Linked DNA regions of Schizosaccharomyces pombe. The gene in region 3 interacts genetically with the main gene of each other region. Each region holds a gene or a part of one and is shown on either strand. Other genes may lie near its edges.

Evidence for each region.
Region 1: mutations in mak1 (region 3) and arf6 together harm fitness more than expected from each alone (negative genetic interaction), as found in Schizosaccharomyces pombe (one large-scale study listed by BioGRID).
Region 2: mutations in mak1 (region 3) and iqw1 together harm fitness less than expected from each alone (positive genetic interaction), as found in Schizosaccharomyces pombe (one large-scale study listed by BioGRID).

What each region holds. Positions count from the first base shown.
Region 1 is NC_003423.3:4,374,012-4,379,239, reverse strand, and holds arf6 (ADP-ribosylation factor-like protein Arf6), read right to left. Parts: upstream 3,512-5,228; 5' UTR 3,384-3,511; coding exon 3,278-3,383; exon of another isoform or gene 3,179-3,277; coding exon 3,148-3,178; exon of another isoform or gene 2,946-3,147; coding exon 2,873-2,945; exon of another isoform or gene 2,818-2,872; coding exon 2,619-2,817; exon of another isoform or gene 2,576-2,618; coding exon 2,430-2,575; 3' UTR 2,063-2,429; downstream 1-2,062. Other genes in the region: trp1 (anthranilate synthase component II), read left to right, coding at 1-2,019; fmd1 (glutathione-dependent formaldehyde dehydrogenase), read left to right, coding at 4,165-4,197, 4,355-4,398, 4,506-5,228. UniProt on the Schizosaccharomyces pombe protein: GTP-binding protein that functions as a molecular switch for the activation of 'new end take off' (NETO), a process in which the directions of cell growth change from a monopolar manner to a bipolar manner in fission yeast.
Region 2 is NC_003423.3:3,161,234-3,167,964, reverse strand, and holds iqw1 (WD repeat-containing protein), read right to left. Parts: upstream 4,826-6,731; 5' UTR 4,794-4,825; coding exon 4,733-4,793; intron 4,688-4,732; coding exon 4,594-4,687; intron 4,548-4,593; coding exon 3,863-4,547; intron 3,822-3,862; coding exon 2,323-3,821; intron 2,272-2,322; coding exon 2,181-2,271; 3' UTR 2,063-2,180; downstream 1-2,062. Other genes in the region: plasma membrane spermine family transmembrane transporter Caf5, read right to left, coding at 1-1,285; phosphatidylinositol-3,4,5-trisphosphate3-phosphatase Ptn1, read right to left, coding at 5,096-6,142. UniProt on the Schizosaccharomyces pombe protein: Ligand-dependent coactivator of nuclear receptors that may function as a substrate receptor for CUL4-DDB1 E3 ubiquitin-protein ligase complex.
Region 3 is NC_003424.3:4,706,344-4,717,180, forward strand, and holds mak1 (phosphorelay sensor kinase Mak1), read left to right. Parts: upstream 1-3,365; 5' UTR 3,366-3,626; coding exon 3,627-3,695; exon of another isoform or gene 3,696-3,795; coding exon 3,796-8,646; 3' UTR 8,647-8,918; downstream 8,919-10,837. Other genes in the region: kinesin-like protein Klp3, read left to right, coding at 572-682, 736-835, 1,044-1,117, 1,163-1,316, 1,390-2,615; mug51 (variant protein kinase 19 family protein), read left to right, coding at 10,227-10,837. UniProt on the Schizosaccharomyces pombe protein: Involved in the control of the SAPK-dependent transcriptional response to peroxide stress. Also has a role in G2/M regulation.

The DNA of each region.
Region 1 (5,228 bases), on a different chromosome or scaffold from region 3:
GGTGGTATTTGTAACGAGGCTATTTCGAGATTTGCTGGAAAGATTCCTATACTTGGTGTGTGTATGGGACTTCAGTGTATTTTTGAGACAATGGGTGGTAAAGTTGATTCCGCTGGTGAAATCATACATGGAAAAGTTTCTAAAATAAATCACGACGGTCTCGGATTTTACCAAGGAATACCTCAAAATATTTCTGTAACAAGATATCATTCTCTTGCTGGAAAAATTTCATCACTTCCTGATTGTTTGGACGTTACAAGCTGGACCGAGAATGGTGTAATAATGGGTGCACGCCATAAAAAGTATGCTATTGAGGGTGTTCAATACCATCCTGAAAGTATCCTTAGTGAGTATGGCAAAGAGTATATTCAGAATTTTTTGAATCTCACTGCTGGAACCTGGGAAGAAAATGGCATTGTTATGCCTACAAAAAATAACGCATTTAACGCGGCTATGCGTGAAAATTCGAATTCTGTTTCTTCAACTAAAATTCGCAAACAAGAATCTATCCTTGAGAAAATCCACGCGCAGAGACTTATTGACATTGCTGAAAGTAAAAGAAAGCCTGGTCTTTCTGTGGGTGATTTGCAAACATATTTGAACCTTAACATAGCACCTCCATGTATAAATTTTTATGAGAGATTAAAGCAATCTAAACCAGCTTTAATGGCTGAAGTCAAACGTGCTTCCCCTTCTAAAGGTGACATTAAGTTAGACGCAAATGCTGCTATCCAAGCTCTTACTTATGCTCAGGTTGGCGCCTCAGTCATATCTGTGTTAACAGAACCAAAATGGTTCAAAGGCTCATTGAATGATTTGTTTGTTGCGCGAAAAGCTGTTGAGCATGTAGCTAATCGGCCTGCAATTTTGAGAAAGGATTTCATTATTGACCCTTATCAAATTATGGAGGCTCGTTTGAATGGTGCTGATAGTGTATTGCTAATCGTTGCGATGTTAAGCCGTGAACAATTAGAGTCCCTCTATAAATTTTCTAAATCTTTGGGCATGGAACCGTTAGTAGAGGTTAACTGTGCTGAGGAAATGAAGACTGCTATAGAACTTGGTGCTAAAGTTATCGGCGTTAATAACAGGAATTTGCATAGTTTTGAAGTAGACCTTTCCACTACATCAAAATTAGCCGAAATGGTCCCAGATGATGTTATTCTTGCAGCTCTCAGTGGAATTAGTAGTCCTGCTGATGTTGCCCATTATAGTAGTCAAGGTGTATCAGCAGTTCTTGTTGGTGAATCTCTTATGAGAGCTTCGGATCCTGCCGCTTTTGCACGAGAGTTACTTAATCTTTCTTCTAGCGAGATATCTAATGGTAAAAAAACATCAACACCCCTAGTGAAGGTATGTGGTACTCGTTCATTGTTAGCTGCTAAAACCATTGTAGAATCAGGAGGCGATTTGATAGGGTTAATTTTTGTGGAAAAGAGCAAACGAAAAGTGGACTTGTCCGTGGCCAAGGAAATTTCACATTTTGTTCATACAACCAATAGAAAACACATTTCCCCAAAGAAAGCAGTGACTGGTCAAAGTTGGTTTGATCATCAGTATGAAAATCTTGCTTCCTCTCCGCACCCTTTGTTAGTCGGTGTGTTCCAAAATCAACCATTAGAATACATTCGTTCTATAATAGCAGAAGTGAACTTGGATATTGTCCAGCTTCATGGACAAGAACCTTTCGAATGGATACATATGCTCGATAGACCTGTTATTAAGGTGTTTCCGCTAAATTCTTCTGAAATTTCAAGGCCCAACTATCATATTGTACCTTTGATTGATGCATATGTCGGTGGAGAGTCAGGAGGTTTAGGCAAGAAAGTAGACTGGGAAGCTGCATCTTTCATTCCAGTATCTTATGTCTTAGCTGGTGGTCTAACACCTAAAAATGTACAAGATGCTATATCTGTTAGCCGCCCAGCTGTAGTCGATGTATCGAGTGGGGTGGAGACTGACGGGAAACAAGATCTTGAAAAGATCAAGGCATTTATAAACGCCGTAAAAGAACTTTAACTTGTCTACATTAAATCAAGTTTGTCTAGATGTTTTTGGATACATATCATGAGACTTCGCTTAAAATAACTGGTTTTAGATTTTGTTGGATAAGAAGTGTGCGATAATTATATTATCTGGTTATTGATCACTTTTCTGTATTAAATTAAGAAATATTTTATTGACAAAAATGGCTGTTATCCAAATGTATTTGGCCGAATGAAGCACATTATAAAGTGATAGTAGGAATAGGGAAACGATTGGCAATAGTAAAGTTATATGCTAAAGAAAGAAAATGAATAGTAAAGACTGTACAGATTTAATTAAGCAACGATAAAGGGATAGAACGGAAGCTGATCGATGTAATTATTTGCAATTCTTGGGATAACGAACGAAATAAACACCATGTATTAACAAATCAAAGAAGCAAATTATTTTAACTTTGCGTTTTGACTTAGCCAAGCCAGACCCTCCAACAGCCCGTCTCCTGTAAGAGCACATGTTGGCTGAACGTTCCATAAACGATCCTTCAATTTGTCTAGCTGCAAAACATCGGTAATTTGAGCAGGTGAAAGAGCTACCATAGTGTTAGCATAAGTTATTCGGATTCGCAACCTTACCTCCAGGCAAATCCTGTTTATTAGCCAACACCAAAAGAAGACAGTCCCGCATTTCACGATCTGAAATAATGCGATGCAATTCTTGACGAGCTTCTGATATACGATTGCTGTCGGCAGAGTCAACAACAAAAATTAATCCTTTGGTTCCAGTAAAATAATGCCGCCATAAAGGTCGTATTTTATCTTGACCTCCAACATCCTACAAACAAATCAACGTTAGAACATGCTCGACCCAAGATTGATTATAAATATACCCAAACGTTAAACTTGATGTTTTTGTAAGTGACTGTTTCGACGTTAAAACCCACAGTGGGAATGGTGACAACACTGGCTGTTAGTTAATGAACACAAGAAAAATCAATTTCATTTACGGAAGCATAATTGCAACTCAAGATAATGCGCGACAGTAGACTTCACTGATTAATTAACCAACAGTCTTCGTAATGAAATCTATATCTACTATGCTAATACAGAAGCAGCGCATACGATACCTTGACACAATCGAAGAATGCTGTTTAGTGCTCTTTACCTTTGATTGAGTTTTAATTTGTATAAGATAGCTAAAATGTTAATAAAAGAGTTACCATTATTAAAACACCAAGTTAAGCACGATTATACGGAATGAAGACTGTAAAAATCCATCCGAATAAAAAACATACTCGTTTTTCCAGCTGCATCCAGACCTAGCATTAAGATACGCATTTCCTTGTTAGAAAACAACCGACTAAATGGCTTTGAAAACCCCTTAAATAGTGAATTGCCCATGGTATCAAATAATCCCAGAAGAAGATAACCAAAAGAAAGAATAGACCAAAAAAACCAAAGAAGTAGAATTTATATTGAACCCAGATACAGGGCTTTCTTCGTACTTTAAAAGACGGCTAGCACTAAACGTAGGTGCAGCTGATATCAACTCTCTCTGTCTGAAATATTTAATTAAGCCGAGCTGATACATAATGTAAATTAACGAGCTGCGTAACTGAATTATATGGAAGCCCATGGTCTTGTACTATATCGTAAATCCCATGTACGAATAATAAATTAAATATTAAGAATATTATTTTTATCGATTAACTTTTGGAATTTCCATCAAGTTTATTGAATAGAAACATTCTCATTCCCTTGCCTAATAACGCAGATTTATATTACTCAACTTTAACAGTGTATGTTAATGATTTGAAGCCTCATTATTTAAAGTATTTTTCAAAAAAAAATAAAAATAAAAAACAATCATATAAAATAACATTTAGTAGAAGAAGGCTTCAAGTATTGAATTATAAACAAACTAATGTTTTCGTAACATATGTTTCTATGCTAGCACTGTATTTTAAATTGTACTTTTTAATATTGATTCTTTATTTTTGTATGTATATCTCTCTATCTAGCAAGTGACTATTGAGATACAAGATCGACGATGATCGACAATTTTCATCCGAGTCGCGACCTATCTAGTAGTAAGCATATGTAATAAGTAAGTAGACCTAAATGTTAAAACTGTAACAGTCTTTCTACCAAATACACATTCTGAGATAGTCTTTAATGAAACATGTCTTTCGAAGGTAAAACGATCACTTGCAAGGTATGAAAAAGAAAACGTAAATCATTGTCTAAAGTGTAAATGATATTGGTGCTGTAAGTCCACCAAAGGTTTACTTTTGATATTATTGTTCATCCATGAGTATATGGATAATTATCTTTTATTTTTTCTTTCTGTGTACTAATAACATTCGTTTTAGGCAGCCGTAGCTTGGGGTGCAAAGGAACCTTTATCTATAGAGGAGTAAGTATAATGATGACAAAAGGAAAAGAATTTATACTTGAATTTTATTACTAACTTTTGACTTCTCTTCTGCTCATCAACGGGCAGAATGGGAGGTGATACTACAGTATTCAGGTTGCCCCTCCAAAAGCTCATGAGGTTCGTGTGAAAGTCGATTGGAGTGCTGTTTGTCACACAGATGCTTACACGCTGTCTGGTGTAGATCCAGAAGGCGCATTCCCTATTGTTCTTGGTCATGAGGGTGCTGGTATTGTGGAAAGCATTGGCGAAGGGGTTATCAACGTGCGTCCTGGAGACCATGTTATTTTGCTATATACTCCGGAATGTAAAGAGTGTAAATTCTGTCGTAGTGGTAAAACTAATTTGTGCTCCAAAATTCGTGAAACACAAGGTCGAGGTTTAATGCCTGACGGTACTAGTCGCTTTTCCTGTCGCGATAAAACGTTGCTTCATTACATGGGATGTTCTAGCTTTAGTCAATACACAGTTGTAGCTGATATCTCGCTTGTGGCTATTTCACACTCCGCACCTCTTCGCAGTATTTGCTTGTTGGGCTGCGGTGTCACAACTGGATTTGGTGCTGTGACACACTCTGCTAAGGTTGAGTCTGGTTCAACGGTAGCTGTTGTTGGATGTGGATGCGTAGGTCTCGCTGCAATGCAGGGTGCGGTTGCAGCTGGTGCTTCGAGAATCATTGCTATTGATATCAATGCAGATAAGGAAGTATATGCCAAGAAATTTGGTGCTACTGACTTTATCGATTCTTCTAAAGTTAAAGACCTCGTACAGTATGTTATTGATGTGACTGATGGTGGTGTTGACTATGCATT
Region 2 (6,731 bases), on a different chromosome or scaffold from region 3:
GTACAATCCAATGGACCGATTCTCTTCCCGACCAGCCAAACCAGAAAAGGCAAATGGGAATAAAGAACGTTGCTGGAAATGAAATGACCAAAACTCCTTCCGGAGCAAAATCACCACCACTGGCCATGAATGCTGGGATCATCACTTTATACAGGAATACGAAATAGCAGGCTAAAGTAATCAAGGCACCCACGAGAATACCTAAGTAAACCAAGCCATTTTCAATAATGGTAAAATGGTAAACGCTAGTAAAAAGGATTGGGAAAGCTTCGAACCACAGATATAAAATTGAATAGATTAGCCCAATATATATATTTAAAGACAATACTATCGGCTCCGAAATACTTAGTATTATCGGACGAATTATGGTTTCCTTTGCAAGCTGAGCAACACTTAAATGGGAAGATGCCAATTCGGCCTCTGTTCTATAATTTTCGTTTCCAGTTATCTTACGGAACCTCTTTGCCCTCTTATATAATATATGCCATTCAGAAGTCTCTGGCATAAAAAAGAAGATAACAATCAATGCAAAGCCAGAAATCATCATCAAAAGCCAAAATTGCCATCTCCAAGATTCAGCAACGACCATCGCTCCACCAAGCAACGGTCCCAAAACTGGACCACCGATGGCTCCAATTGCCCAAAAACACATAAAGTAGGGAAGAAGCCATGGTTGCCAAATATCTGCCAAAGTAGCACCTCCAGTCGCTAGAGCTGGCGAGCCGAAGAAACCGGCCAAAAACCTCATTGGTAATAAGACGCCCAAGCTAGATCCCAGTGCGGTGGGAATCTGTAAACACACAAATACAAGGAGAGAAAGAACATAAATCTTTTGGCGACCAACTTGTGGAATCTCCGAGAGTGGAGACAAAATTAGGGGACCGATGGCATAGCCAAGTACAAAAAGAGTCAATCCCAAAACTACGGGAACAGTTCCTACGTGCATCGTTTCTTGCATTTCTGATATACCTGGAGTAAAAATTGCTGATCCCACATAAACCGCAAACGTTAAGAAGCAAATATCAAAAGTCACCACAAGCTTTGCCCACAAAGGCCAATTTAGGGGATTTTCGGGATCGTTGGCATCATCCCATCGCACAATAATGTGTCCCTCTGAATTAACTTCATGAATCTTCAGATCGCCGGATTCCGAGCTGCATGAGTCATTGGAATCTACTTTGCTAATGTCTTTCCATACTCTCAGTTTCTCTAAGTCGTTGTCATTGGAGTTGTGAGAAACGTATTCGACCAATTCGCCGAAAACGGTTTCCCTTAAAAATCCCATTTAAATGACCGTATGTAAAAACCAAAGTTAGTTCTATTTTTTGGTCTCGGTTAACTTTATTAAAAACTTGACAGATTATTTGCCCACACTTGCTGGTACAATTGTCTGGCTACATTCTTCTCCTAATATACCCTTCGTGCCTTACCTAATCAACGTGAATGTTTACTAAGTGTAAAGTAAGCATATATTGATTGATTAGTCAATTATGTGAGATTCCTTCTTTCAATTATCCATCGTATTCTAAGTCGTTTCAGTAAGCAGTATTAAAAGTGCAAAATCATCTTGTTGCTTATGTAAACAAAAAAAAAATTAAGATTGGAAGTTACAACAAACATTTCTAACGTACATCAGTCGATCGTCATCTCGCGTAAAAAATTCTGCCTTAATTTTTGTCAGCAAAAGAAAGCGAAATTAAAAAGTAAAAACAGAACTATATGACTAATCAAAACTAAGTATGAATTAATTCTTTTCAGAGTAATGCGAATACAACAGTTACTTAAAAAAATGATGTCGTTAAAAACAATTTTAACTTCAAACTATGATTAAGTAGGTAGACGATCGACGGAAGACAGAAAATAAGAGGGATTGCTATGCTTGCCGTTTTCCTTTGAAGACGATGTTTCAAGAAAATTAAAATTTAATATTTTACTTTTAAAGAAAAGCTTATATAAAAAATGACTATTAAACATCTGCAGTCATACGCACTTAATATTTGTCCAAATGAATATGCCGAAATTGTCTTGCTTTTAACTACTTCGCTTAAATTCCCAACTTTATCCCAAAAAGTAAAATCATATAGTTATTTCACAACATTAAGTTTACTTGAAAATGTCTAATCATTAATCATAAATAGTTTTAATAGAGAAAATGTGAGCTTCAAAAAAAACTTCCTCAGTTACATAATACTACAAGCATCGGTATCGAGCACTTCGTGTCCAAACCCATCATCCAAATGTGCACGATATGCAAGATGTGACAACATACGACTAGAAGAACGGTTAGTATTTACATGAGCAAATTAGAAGTATTCAACAAACCTCGTTATGTAGGAATCTCGCGACCCCTGCTGCCTATTCATTTCATTGGTAGCAATTATTTTGTAACTATTGGAAGTATGGTTCCTTGAACAACCTGATGGTGGAGTGTTCTCAGTATTGAATATCTTCACGGTGGAATCAATACCGGACACAGCAAGCGTGGGACAACGGGGATGCCCTTCTATAACGTTAACAGCTTCACTATCGCCATGGATAATTGCAAGAATGGAAGCATTTAACTTATCCCAAATAAAAAACCTGCCATCGTCAGAACCACTCATGACATATTCATCATTTTGACCATAGAAATTAACATTTTTAATAGACTCTACGTTGCAGTGACCATAATAACTTTTAACATGTGTGTTCACCGGCACATTTGGTTCCACTGCTTTCCGCTTCTTCATTCTTAAAGACAACAAAGTCGGACCTTCATCCGAATCCTCATCACTTTCATCATCATCATCACTAGCATAGGAGTAACTTTCCTCATCCTGGTAATCATCATCGTCATCATTGAGATCAGAATGCCCAGTATACATACTGACAATATTTTCTCCCGAACTACTTTCAACTTCATTTTCATAGTTCACTGGCGGTTCCAACAATGTCAAGAACCCGTTTTCATCATCAAGTCTTTGGCTGGAAGTAACGTCAGAAGTACTGCTGTCCCAAGGCTGAAATTGCTCCCAGTAGATATCGGAGGATATAAGAAGAAGACAACCGCGTAAAACTTTATGTATCCAAAAAAACCGCCTTACAGAAGATAAATCATTAGTATCTATCCTAGCAAATGCCCTAATCATTTCAGAGGGATTTGAGAATAAAACCCGAGATGGTTCATCAGGATCACACAAAACAAAGTTTTGGCGAGCAACGTTCGTAGGCGGAGACATTTGTAGTGCCCAATGGTCCGATATTCCTAACAAATATCGTGTAACCCAATTCATAAAATCATACAACCATCCCCAGCCAGCTTGTATAATGGTGTTCGGTTCCAAACTCACAGTATCATCCATAAGCGCTAAAATAGAAACACACGCTCTCCAATAACGTAAAGCACTAACGCGGATACTATGATTCAAACCGTTTGAATCGGGAATATAATTATAATTTTCCAAGAAATAAATAGCGTCTTTAACGTACTGAATAGAGCGAGAAAAATGAGATAAACGACCGCTAACAATGCTCTCATACAGTCCTCCATTTTCGGTAGTAAAAAACTTTTCGATATTCTCATACATCTGATAAAATGTATGCTTTCGAGGTTGGGCTGCTGTATACGGATTTCTTGACACTCTACTAGCTGGAGTAGAAGCACCAAAGTTATTCTTATACCATGGCGAGTAATTTTTCCTTTTCAGCGGCTGTGTTTGAAGTAACGAAGGCTTAGACGGCTTTTTATTTGAATCCTCTATTTTATTAAAAGTTGGTGTATAAGATTTATCTTCATGAACATGGAATAAATATACATAATCAGAGTTCCAACTGACAAGCAACTATAACAAACATTAGAGATCACCCATGCAATAAGACTTACCTCATTAGGATTAGCAGCACTAAACTGACAACAAGTGATATAACGATCCAAGATACCTTGGGAATTACATGAGCCATCTGGACTAAATTTACGAACACAACGGCAGTCTTTTTCGGGAGAAGTGTTCATAGTCCAATCATCCCGGAAAGATTTTTTAACCATCCGGCGATCATATAGAAACGCGTACGGATGAGTACCACCAATTGCAAAATAATAAGGGTTTGAAGGGGACATGGTTATAGTGTATAAATTGATGCGATATGGGTTATAATTTACCAGTATAGAAGGACAATCCAAATCTTGATTGCAGACATGTGGCTCACGAATATCGTATTGACGAGCCGTCCCATCTTCACTGCAAACTAGAAAAGTATGACCATTGTCACAAGGGACGATGTTTTTAACAGAATCAAGAGCACAACTCCAACATCTAGTTTGAGTCTCCATGCCGTGATCCATTCCTCCTTCTTTACTTGAATCTAAATCAAACAACTTAATAAGCTTATCACCACTAGCAGACAATATTTGCCGGTTATTAGAATATGGGACAAATTTCGCACTGAAGATATTTTGAACATGGCCAGTAGATATTAAATGCCGTGGCTTGTATTCATTGAAAACATCCCAGACAATTAGTCTTGTATCATCACTTCCTGATAACAAGAATTCACCGTCCGCGGACCAGCTGAAAATTGTAAGCATTGTAGAACAAATTGTTATAAAACACTTACTCTAGTGTATTAACACATCCCGTATGACCAGTTAATTCTTTCTGCAAATCTATACCGGTCAACCAAGTCGAATTGCCGTAGATATCTCGACTGACTAATAAACTAGTTAGCATCATTCAAAAACAAAACAAGAGCATACTTTTTCGCTGAAACCAATCTCTATAATCCAATTGACGCAAGGATAGTGATATCCCAGACATGAGAGTCAATTCAGCGATTAACAAGCGTTGGTGGAAGACAAGCTCAATTCAAGTGGATGTCGGTAATGTAGCCACGATGAGTTAATACCATAAATCGTAACTGCAAACTCGAATCTTAGAGTATAAGCCTTAAACTCAAACTCCTATGTTTTTTTTAAAATTTAAAAAAAAAACTTGAAGCGCCTCTGTAATTTACTGAAGTAGAAACACTTCAACATGTGAGTTTATTTCGATGATCGAAAGGAGGATCTAATTGCACAAATAATCATTTTATTTTACACTAATATAATATTTACAAAATATCAAAAAACATTTTCATATACAATTGTCAGTTGTTCGAAAAAGGGGTCACTTCGTCGGCTATTATCCATTTCAGACCAGGAGAACGAAATTGACTGTTGTCCTTGCAGAAAGGAATTTATACCTTGTTGAAAATTTATCCCGTTTGTGTATTCCACAAGCATAGGTTGAAAGTGAGTATGAAACCAACATTGCACACTCGAAGGAAAGTAAAACTGGCCCTTGCGTTCGACTCTGAGCAAAAGGTCTTTCTCCGATGTTTCTAGGTTGCATTGTATCCCCCATATACGTTTTCCTTCTTTTATGCTTACATTATGGGATGATATATCTGAACTCTTCCACAGAGCAACTGGATTTATGTTTCGTCCCTTAGAGAAGGCATGCAATGATAGAATCAAAGATGAATTTTTTTTAATATTCAAACATTTAAAACTTTTAAAAAAAGTGGTACCAGTATTAAATTCCACAGCTTTCAAATAATTCGGGAACTGTTTTAAAATTTCGATATAATAGACGTAACGTATTTGCGATGAAATGGTAAGACCGTGCCCTCGAACCATTCTTTTTTCAGTATATAGTTCAAGACTTTGCTTGGCTGTCAAGCCTCCGAAAGCTACCAAGTAGCTACATATTACAGTTCCTGTACGTCCTTTTCCGGCCTTACAATGAACTACCAATGTCAACAAAGGTTGCGTTTGAAAGAGTGCATCCATATTCATAACAATAGCCCATAAAAAGAGAAGCGGAGGTGGATTATGATCTTGAAATCCATAATTTATGACATTTGGTTTAAATAATTCCAAATGGTAAACTGTTTCTTCGGCACATAAATTCAACAATATCCAGTTGTCTTTCAATTGCGTTGTAAGATATTTAAATACATCCAATTCGTCGTTTCGATATAACTTATGTATTCCAGCAGCCGGTGTAGACATAGCAATTACCTTGGAAGTAATATAAACCATATCTAAGTAAGCAAAGCTACGATTCACTTTTTCTTGTTTGAGGCCTTTTCGACCCCTCGAAACTACTGATCGAAGTATATTCATGGAAAATTACATGTTTAATTAGTTATTTGTAATATACTAGGATAATACTGCAGATGCCGTTGACTGTTGAAATATGAGGTAAGCTGCACTGTTCAGAAGAAAATAAGAGAAATACAATAAAGATTTTAGTAATGAACTTTAAGCGGGTAGGTATCAACCATAGTGACGTGAATAAATAACTAATTTACTTTTAATTATTTATATATTTTGATAGCAATGATTTGATAATCCATTTTATTGAAAAAAACATAAGGGCATAACTTTTCCCTTTAAACGATGCAAAAGTATTACTAGTAAAAAAAAATAATAAAGAAATAAAAAAAAAAAAATGAGAAAAATGAATAAAAAAAGCCAATAAGAAATACAATCGTAAGACATGAACCGTAAATAAGCATTAAAATATTTTGATAAAAATCCTTAAAAACATTTAAGTCCACCAAAAAACAAACAAACCCATGCGATTATTCGAATCCTCTAAAATAAATCCAAAACGTTTAGGTAAAAAGAAATAAGTGGTAGAAGTATATAACGTTAGACATATGCAATTAATCATACATTAAAAATAAATCGTGAGGCATACACATTAGCG
Region 3 (10,837 bases):
ATCTCCATATAAACTTCACAATTTAAAAAAATTATTTAATTTAAAAAAAAAAATAAATAAATACCTGCGAGGTTTCTCGTTCTTACCATTTAATCAAATTTTCATAAATAAATATGTGAGAAATTGCAATCCAATTTTCGTCACAGATATTAATCAGACGAAGGGTAAAATACTCTGCTTAAAATATGAATCAAGATTGAACAATCTTAAGAATTTTATACATGTGTAAATCTTCAAATAATATCAGGAAAAAAAGAATATGTAGAAGGAAGTAAACAATTTTAGCCTGTTGATTTGTAAATTTATTTTTTTTAATTCACACTTCGAGCTTTAACATTAAACAATTATGTAGTTAATTACATGATATTATTCTGTTTTTGATACGTTGCCTTAAACAACAATTATTGTAGAGGCACCATGTTAGGTTAACCTCGTCTTTCCCTGTATATGAAATTAGCCCGCTCACATATTGTCTTTAATGATTTTTTTGGATGTATGGATCTAATTTATATACTGCGTTTTAATCATACATTATTTGATTTTTTATCTTTTTATAAAGCAGTTTTACTCAATGACTTCAATTAAAGTAGTGTGCCGAATTCGGCCCACGAACCAGTTGGAACAAGACCTTGGAGGAAATAATGTGATATACCCATTAAACGATTCTACTGTTCATATCGAGGTAGGTTTCAACAATTGATCTTTACTTTAGAATTCGGCTGACATGATTAAAAGACTAGTGATTACTCAGGAAACTTTGTATTCGATCGTGTTTTTCATCCTTCTAGCACTCAGAATGATATATTTTCGTATTCAATTGAATCGACAGTCGATGGTATGTGAATGATAGTAAAACTTTACACGGCGTTGAACGGATTAATTTCATCGTTGTCAGCAACAGCTTGTATGAAATTATAGCATAGCCTTTTTTTATATGCGCTCGTTTTGACGCTTCATTTGAAACGAATTGCCATTTTAATACATTGTTCGAATCACATTCAAGTTGTTCTGAATTTCATTAAATATGTACTAATATATTATAGACTTATTCTTGGGTTATAACGGAACAGTACTAGCCTATGGACAGACAGGATCCGGCAAAACATACACCATGATGGTATATTCACAATTTCACCTGGCACACTTTTCTAACAATCTTTAGGGTATTGAAAATAATTTCGAAAAAGAAGGAATGACTCCAAGAATGCTCAGGCGTATTTTTGACAAAATCCGCGATTCACCATCTACTACTGAATACGAAGTGAAGGTATCATACATGGAAATCTACATGGAAAAAATTCATGATCTACTTTCCGGTAAGCCTTCAAATGCCGTAGAAATTTTGCGACGTTCGTATTTAATTTCAGCAAAATTAACCATGATTTACAGAAAAAAATGACAGACTGACGGTTCATGAAGATAAACTTCAGGGAGTTTATGTTCAAGGTTTAAAAACGATTTACGTATCAAGTGAAACGGAGGCATTGGATATTTTAAATAAAGGTATGGGGTCACGTGCCGTTGCAAGTACGTCGATGAATGCGCAAAGTTCACGGTCTCATTCTATTTTTGTACTCGAAGTTGTCCAAACGGACACTGAGTCCGGCGAAACTCGACGAGGCCGGTTGTTTTTAGTTGACTTGGCAGGTTCCGAAAGCGTAGGAAAAAGTGGAGCAGTCGGGCAAACCTTAGAAGAAGCAAAGAAAATAAACCGTTCTCTTTCAACTCTTGGAATGGTTATTAATTCTCTCACAGACAGCAAATTATCACATGTTCCTTATAGAGATTCCAAGTTAACGCGTATTTTAAAAGAGTCTCTTGGTGGAAATTCTCGGACCACTCTAATTATTAACTGTTCACCAGATTCATACAATGCAACAGAGACCTTATCTACTCTTAGGTTTGGACATCGTGCAAAGAGCATCAAAAACAAAGCGGTAGTAAACTCAGAACTTTCTGTTGATGAAATGAAAAGACAGCTGTATATTTATAAAGATGCTTTGTCTCGTTGCGTTTGTGGAGCCAGAATTAACAATAACTTAGACTATAATAATTGTCATTCTAACGTATGGTCAGGCGAGCATTCCCTCACACTGTCAAATCTCGCCGAAAAATCCAACTTAAAGGAAGCAGAAATCATTCAAGGAAATAGAACAATTCAGGAAAGTAATAATGACAGAGACGAAAGCACAGTTGCTTCGATACACAGACATAACTTTGATTCTGATTCTATCAATCGTTTGTATGCTGAAGCACAACTTGAACTTAAACAACGAGATGGTGTTTTATCATCCACTAAACAGCAATTGTCAGACCTTATGACTGCATTGGGCGATGCTCAGGAGCGGTATGTTGAGCTTGTTAAAAACCACAGAGTAAATTCAAATCTTACTGCAAACAACTCATTAAATGACAAACCGGGTTTTACAATAGAACAGAAAGATAAAAATTTTTCGATAAATAACGAGAGAAACAATTTTTTACAAAAACTGAGTACTTTGGATTCCTCACTGGCTGCTCTAGTAAATGTTCAACGAAAATTGATTAAAGCTTTAATTTCCAAAGAGCGACCTCAAAATGGAACAGTAATTAAGAAAATTCAAGGGGGCACTTAAAAGCTACACTTTTTTACTCTGCTTTGCGAAGGATTATATATGTTTAATTAATTTCTTTAGAGTTGTTGAGCTCACATTTAATCATGAAATATTGCATCTCGTCTAGCTGCTTTCTGAATAAACTAATTTTCTGACTAATTATTTATGCAGCTTCTTTTATATTGCTGCAGCATTATAATATAAAAGAAAACAGCTACGCAGCAATGCATTGTTTATATGCTTATTCAGCAAATGTGTAACATCTCAAATGATGATGTAATAACAATTCAATAAAAATTTACCGTTATAATATAATCAGCGAATTTAGTAATCTGAGACTACTATTCTTTAGCAAGGATTGACTATTGGCTAAGCAATCATTACCTTTTTTAAGCTACAACGAACTGTAGTTTAAGTGTTACTTGCGATGTATATAATCTTATGTAGGATGTTTATCGTAGATGGTAAAATGTTGTATCAATATAATTATGATATTGAATACACTAACATAACCACACATATATGGCTTATAACTGAAGTCAGGAAAGAAGGTTTGAATGTATCAACATAATGCATTGTTATAAAACTACTAGTATAGAAGATTTACACTAAGGATGGAAATACGGAGAATCATGAATATTATGAAAAGTTGAACTAACGCAGCACAGTATAGTGTAGTGACTTGTTTCTAACAGAACGATCATATTTACTAGCCACCAATCTTCGCTAAACAACATTTACGCGATCTTCAATATCCATTTACATTTTGCTAACACAACTTGTTGAGTTGTTTCATTTCCCTATTTCGAACACTTTTTACCAATCTTCAGTGCTGTAAAGTCGCTAGGAAAAAAGCGTTTTAAATGGTACGCTTATAATTTCCATTGCTGGTTGCCGTGGTCAAATAACTCAAATACATCAGTTTTTTATTTGAAACGATCTTTATAAGATAGCACTTTCTTTTTGGTAATTACAGTTGGAAACTTTGTTTTATTTAGTATCTATACTGGCCTGTAAATTTAGTCTAAAAAAATGAGGCCACCTGACGATCAAATCAACAATAACGTTGGTTCTAATTCTCACTTGGAAAAGTTGAAAGAGGTAAGTGATTTCAATACTTGGATTCTCCTTTTTTAAATATGAAATAAAATGTGATATCTCTTGTTACTTAATTAATTTAAATTACTAACGTTTGAATAAGGCCATGGACCACCAGCTGCAAAAATCATCAAAAATTGTAGGATCGTTTACTAATTCTCAAAACTCTTCTGTTGGCTCTGTTCATTCTCCGATACTTGAATCTCCCACCAGTTTAAATAGGCAGCATCGAAATTCATTTTCTTTCAATAATGTATCTTCTCCTTCACTAGAGGATGAGCGACTTATTAATTTTCCCCGAGTAAATCCAAATCGATTGATGACATCCAAACGTCCCAATGAGTTATTTAAAACCTCCTCAATGAGTTCAGATTGCTATTCTCCTCAAAAATCTAGGGAATCACTAAATTCATTATGCCATTCACCTGCTCCATCCGTTTCTTCTTGTGGAAATGCTTTGAACAACGATAATACTTCTGCTTCGCACTCACTAACTGATGAGCAACCATTTGAAACAGATTCATCCGCTAACTTATTTAAGCAGTTACAGGAGAAGCGTAACCGTACCATTGGAAATGTGTATGAAATGGCTTGCTTATTGGTCTTTAAAACCGGTTTGATGAATTTCTGGAAAAACATTATTGACTTTTTCGCTCAGCAGTTTTTTTCCACTCAAATATCTGTTGTAGAACCGCGTGACCTTTCTGACATATACAATACTCCTTGGCAACTCAGATGTTATTACGATGGCGGTTCCCATTATGATCCGTATAGTAACCCTATAAGTGTTAATGACAACCTTGCTAGCAGTTCTTATGTTACCGTAGTTGCTTCGGATGGTTCAAAGGGTATTATATACAAAGATCCAGCTTCTCTTAAACATGAAGGGGATTTGCTTATTGATAGCAAAGTTGTACAAACAGTCTTGGAGCGTGCGACATTGCTTGTATATACACGTAAACAACAGCACATTGTTAAAAACACCAAGGTTCATGATAATGATTACTTTAGTTCTATACCTAATGTTGATGATATTCGCAGCATTAAGAATTCATGGAAAGTTTTTCATGATGAAAAACTTAATGAATTGAAAAAGCAGGTTGAAATTAGTGCTTCTGCAGCTCAGTTAAATGGACTTTATCCACAGAAAAAGAGAGCATTTGTTTCACATTTCAGTCAGAATCGTAAACCGTATTCCCAAAGTGACATTTCAAAAGCACAAAGTTCGTCTTTTTCGGAAGAACCTTCAAACATTTATGATGAGTATGAACAAAATTTACTTTCTCCTTGGTCAAGATCTCCAGTTGCTAGTCCCTCCATTCAAACAGATCCTAATAGGAATCCATTCTTCCAAAATTGCTTGCAAGAATCTTCTTTCGCTACTGAATCGTCAACAGAGAAGTCTGCTTCAGAGTCCGTATCAGAAACAGCTGTTAATGATGATTGTAAAGGTATGAATTTTTCTGGTAACAGGCGTCAAGAAGATCATTTGAACGACTTCACCAGTTTTCCTACTGAAACTGCTGTCAGTATTGTACATGTTCCTCTGATGTTTCCTTGTTCGGATCAAACTTCAAGCCGTGGGAGAGCTCCAATTGCAATTCTTTCTTTCAAGTCCAATTTAGTTCCTTATCCGGAAAATTTAATAGCCTCCATAGAACGTTTGATACCCTTTATTTTTTCTTCATACTCAAATTCTCAATCTGTTCCGTTACTTCCTTGTCCTACACAAAGGCATCTATTATTTAACACGTCTAGCACTGACAATACCAAGGAGTTGAGTATGAGCGCGAGCTCCGAAAACTCTGATTGTCCTCATAAAGAAGGAGAGTGCGTAGGCAGCTTTTGCAATATCAATGCTAAAGGATCTTCTCTTAATAACATACCTAAATTGCCTAGGTTTGTACCAGTTCCTTCTGAATTTTTTAAAAAAAACCAGCGATCATGGGTTACTTTAAAGAAGCATCGTTTGCTAGCTAGATTGAAGTCTCGAATTAGCAAAAAGAATTCTAAAGTGAACGAGAATTTGAGATTCTCGCTAAATGATGGTGAAAATTATTCAAATGAAACTATTACTCTAAAGAAGGATGAAATTGTTTTAGATAAATCAAAATCATATGCCTGTTGCACTTCTGAATCTCACAAGTATGTGCAAGGGCATTGTGGTGGTCAAGCGCCTCCTTTTCCCTTACTAAAGGTTATAATTGATTCTATACCGGTTCATGTGTTTACTGCGGATCCGGGAAGTGGAAAACTCACATGGGTTAATAGAAAAACTCTTCTTTACTGTGGTTTAAATATGAATGAGCAAATAGAGCTACAATTTAGTCGAATTCATCCTGATGATCTGCCAAACTTTTTAAATGACTGGAAATCTTCATTATTCTCTGGTAGTGGTTTTTATCATGAAATTCGTTTGCAAAGGTTTGATAATGTTTATCGATACTTTATCTGTCGCGCGGTTCCTTTACGGGATTGCACTGGATCTGTGCTACATTTTTTTGGAACAATGACGGATGTCCATGATCAAAAGTTGGCAGAACGAGAACTACAAAAACAATCAGCTATAGCCGCAAATGAAAACAGCTACAGGTCTTTAGCTGAAGCTTCTCCTCAAATTGTTTTTGCCGCAAATGGTAAAAATGGAATTATTTATGCAAATGCGCAGTGGTTAAGTTATTCAGGTCTTTCACTGGAATCTTCATTGGGACTTGGGTTTTTATCTGCTGTATATCACGCTGATCGCAAGAAATGTTTATTGCCTGAATCTTTGGAGGGAACGTTTAATAACCAAGACGAAAGTAATGGTACCAAAACGTTTGCGGCGGAGATACGTTTTAGATCTACCGATGGTCATTATAGATGGCATTTGGTGAAATCTGTTTGCGTAAATAATTCTGCTGATACGTCTACTAATCTCTGGTTAGGAACTTGTACTGATATTCACGATCATAAAATGTTGGAAGAAAAGCTCCAAGAATCTAACATTGAAGCTCAAAGAATTGTTCGGAGCAAAATGCAGTATCTTTCCAATATGTCTCATGAAATTCGAACCCCTCTTATCGGTATTACAGGCATGGTAAGCTTCTTGTTGGAAACTCAAATGTCTGCCGAACAGCTGAGTTATGCACGTATTATTCAGCAATCAGCTAAGTCTCTTTTGACTGTTATCAATGATATTTTGGACCTTAGTAAAGTCAGAGCTGGAATGATGAAGCTAACTAGCCAACGCTTTTCTGTACGAGCTATGATGGAAGATGCAAACGAAACTCTAGGTACCCTCGCTTTTTCAAAGGGAATAGAATTGAACTACACGGTTGACATTGATGTTCCTGATATAGTATTTGGGGATAATATGAGAATGAGGCAAGTTGCTTTGAATGTGATCGGAAATGCTATTAAATTTACGAATGTTGGTGAAGTTTTTACTCGTTGTTCCGTTGAAAAGATTGATTACTCAACCAATACTGTTGTTTTAAAGTGGGAATGCATTGATACCGGTCAAGGGTTTAACAGAGATGATCAATTACAAATGTTTAAACCGTTTTCTCAAGTAGAGAGTTCTACATTACCAAGACATGGTGGCTCAGGTCTTGGATTAGTTATTTCAAAAGAGCTTGTTGAGCTACATAATGGTAGTATGTCCTGTCAAAGTAGAAGAGGCGTGGGAACGCGCTTTATGTGGACTGCAACGTTTACAATGGATAAAACTCCTCTAAAATTTGAACCCCCAGATGGTTGTTGTCCAGTCTGTTTTTGTCCATACGAAAAAAGCAAACAAAGCACAGAAGACTATTATTGCGCAGACGATGGAAACGATAAAAGCGCGACGAATTTTGTAAAATTGGCCGTAAATAAAGCAGATCCCGGAAGAGAAAGCAACCGACGTAAACTTGAATCGGACAAAAATGTTCAATCCAACAAATATGTGAATCCTTTCGCTTCTGAATCGGAATTTTGTCGATGCGGCGCATCTGCTGATCCATACACAGTTCTATTTTGGAGACTCTATAGAAACAAACCTTCTGGGATCAAGTTGGATAAAAGTGCTTTAGCCGTTGTTGTATCACACACTAAATACAGTAGTGAAGCGATTGGCAACATGCTTCAATCAATTATCGATATAAGCTCATTTAAAGATATCGTAAGGTATGGAAATACCTATGAAGCCTTTGAAGAATTGCTAGAGAATCCTATGCAATCCAAGGTCACCCATATTATATTAAATCTTCCGGACATAGAAGCATATGTTTTATTTGTCAAATCACTGCAACTTTGTAGTCTATACAAGGATACAAAATTTATTTTGGTGACTTCCACTCGACAAAAAGAATCATTATCTAAGATTTTTTCAGATAGCGAGGATTGTAATTCGGAAAGCATCCATTACGTTTTAAAACTTGTGAAACCATCCAAGTTTTTTCCATTATTTTATTCTGATTCTGAGGAAAAGGGGAAAATCGGTGCACTTAATGATATGACTCGAAAGGCTGCAATGGAGCAGAAGGCTGATGCTGAAACACTCCGATATAATCTGGCAAAGTCTGGCTTTAGCGTGTTGTTGGCGGAAGACAACATTATCAATATTAAGGTTATAAGCCGTTACCTTGAAAGAATTGGTGTCAAATTCAAGGTCACCATGGACGGTTTGCAATGTGTTGAAGAATGGAAACGTGAAAAGCCTAATTTTTACTCTCTTATTCTAATGGATTTACAAATGCCTGTTATGGATGGTTACCAGGCATGTAATGAAATTCGTAAATACGAATTGGAAAACGATTACCCTAAAGTTCCTATAGTTGCACTTAGTGCGAATGCTTTACCTCATGTTGTTTTAAGCTGCAAAGATAGTGGTTTTGATTCTTACCTTGCCAAACCTATTACTTTGCAACACTTGTCCTTAATCATATCTGGCATACTTAATTATACGAACCAATCAAAGTTACACAAATGATTTGATATTTAATCTTCACTCACTTTTGCTTGTATTTTTAGAAAGGATCTCACTGTTTTAATGCTTTTATTTTTACTTTATATTTTTTCTTTGTTTTGATCAAAAGCTTATTTAGTGCCTATATTTATTTAAATTGACAACTTCTTATTTTGAATATTTTCCAAAATAATAATTATCTAAGCATCTCATATTTTATTTTATTAACTTTTTAATGCATTTATATTTCCAGCGCCCAGAACCAGTATAATAATATTAAATATCACATATTCCCCTTGTTTAATGTAATGTGTATTTTATTGGCAAGTTAAAAAAAAAATTGTATTGTGTGCTAATCAATCAGTTTTGAAATACAAACCAAATTAAAGTATAGGAAGCAGTCAAATAATCAATTCGAGGATACATTCTCATTGTTAAATGCAAACTTTAGGTAATTCGTAATTAGCTCTTGTAGCTCAGTGGTAGAGCGCTTGCCTAGTAAGCAAGAGGCCCAGTGTTCAAGTCACTGCTGGAGCAAATTTTTTCCCTTACCATAAGCGTAAATTATGCTACACTTCACTATGCATCACTACATATATTTGTTCACTGTGTAGACAGGATTTTTATTCTAATTCCAAGGGGAATGCTATAAGCCAGTCCAGAAAGAAAAAACAAGTTCTTGGTTGGTATCAATACCTTTCGTCGTACAAAGTATATTTAGTTCAATTACTGGCTTTGCCTACAACCGATTAGATAATGCATCAATACTTATACTACGTTATATAGTATTACTATTTTACATGTCAGCAATACTACACTAGCTACATGTAAGCTACGCAGTTTGGTATCTGATTTAAGGATACGTAGAACTGCGGTGAGTTTTCCTTGTGGTCTATTATATTACAATACACAGGTTGTATAAGTAGCAACTGAGTATAGGTATTGTATTAACTGGGTTATAATGTTACCTATCACTAATATAGCTCATAACTGAACTGAGGAACGAGGTTCAGTTGTAACGCTATTTATAATATTTCTAAATAGTTGTTATCAACGGGTATCTATGTATATAGACGGATAGTTACCCGTGATTATCAATAAACGGATCTTAGCTAGTATTCCAACATATGACATATAGTGATACGCAACGTAATGTATCATAGCGTAGTGTAGTATTGCTGACACTACAGTTGTGCAACACTCACTGTATGCCATATGTTAGGATTTTAGTTCAATCCGTGTATTGATAATTGCCGATAACCACCCTTTTATTAATTTAAATAGACTCCCACTGTTATGAACCATTAAAAAGATTATAATGAAGCCACCACTAAACCTCGTTCCTTAGCCCAACTATAAACTATTTTACTAATAGGTTACATTGTAACCCCAAATTTAGAATATCTTTAACGAGTTGCTACTTATTTTCCTGTACTACTGTATAAGTCGCAAGGAAAACTCACTGCAGTTTTTCGTATCGTTAAAATAGTTATTAAACTGCGTAGCTGGCAATTAAAAAATCACTGCGTTAAATGTTGAAGGTGATGAAAACTCGACTAACGAAATTTCTGTAAAGTAAGTTACTTCCCTTACCTACCTTGGCAATGCCTGCTTTATTAAAAATAAATAAAAAGAAGAATGGACAGACTAAAATAGACAGACTGTTTAGCAAAAGGAGAAAGACTTCTTTAGCAATTGAAAAAAACCACTCTAAAGCATCTATGTGTACTGGTCAATCACCATTAAACATCATTTCGTACAATGTTCCTCCATTGATTGTATTAAGAAACAAAACGATACGAAACTCTATAGAAGTTTTAGTTGAGGAAATGTTTCGTGACATTCAAATGCGCCAGCAAACGAATGTTTTAGTTGCACAGTGTCCGCGAATGATTGTGGAAACACAGTTGATAGGCTTATTTCAATCAAACTATACCAGTGTTGCTGAAGAGTTAGAACAATCTATACGTACAGGAGACATCCGTCGTCTTTACCTAAATAGATCTGACAAGTTCTGTGGTGAGTCTTGCTTAATTTTGCGACCTGAGTTTGATAAATTATTTACATACTATTTGTGCAAGTTCAAAGATCAGGAACATATTTATACGCTAATCTTTAAGTTGCATAAACTATTGATTGAAAATCCACTACCTTCCTACACATCCGAGGAGTTGAAATTTAATTGGGAGGAACGACGACTGCTGATTAGTATGGG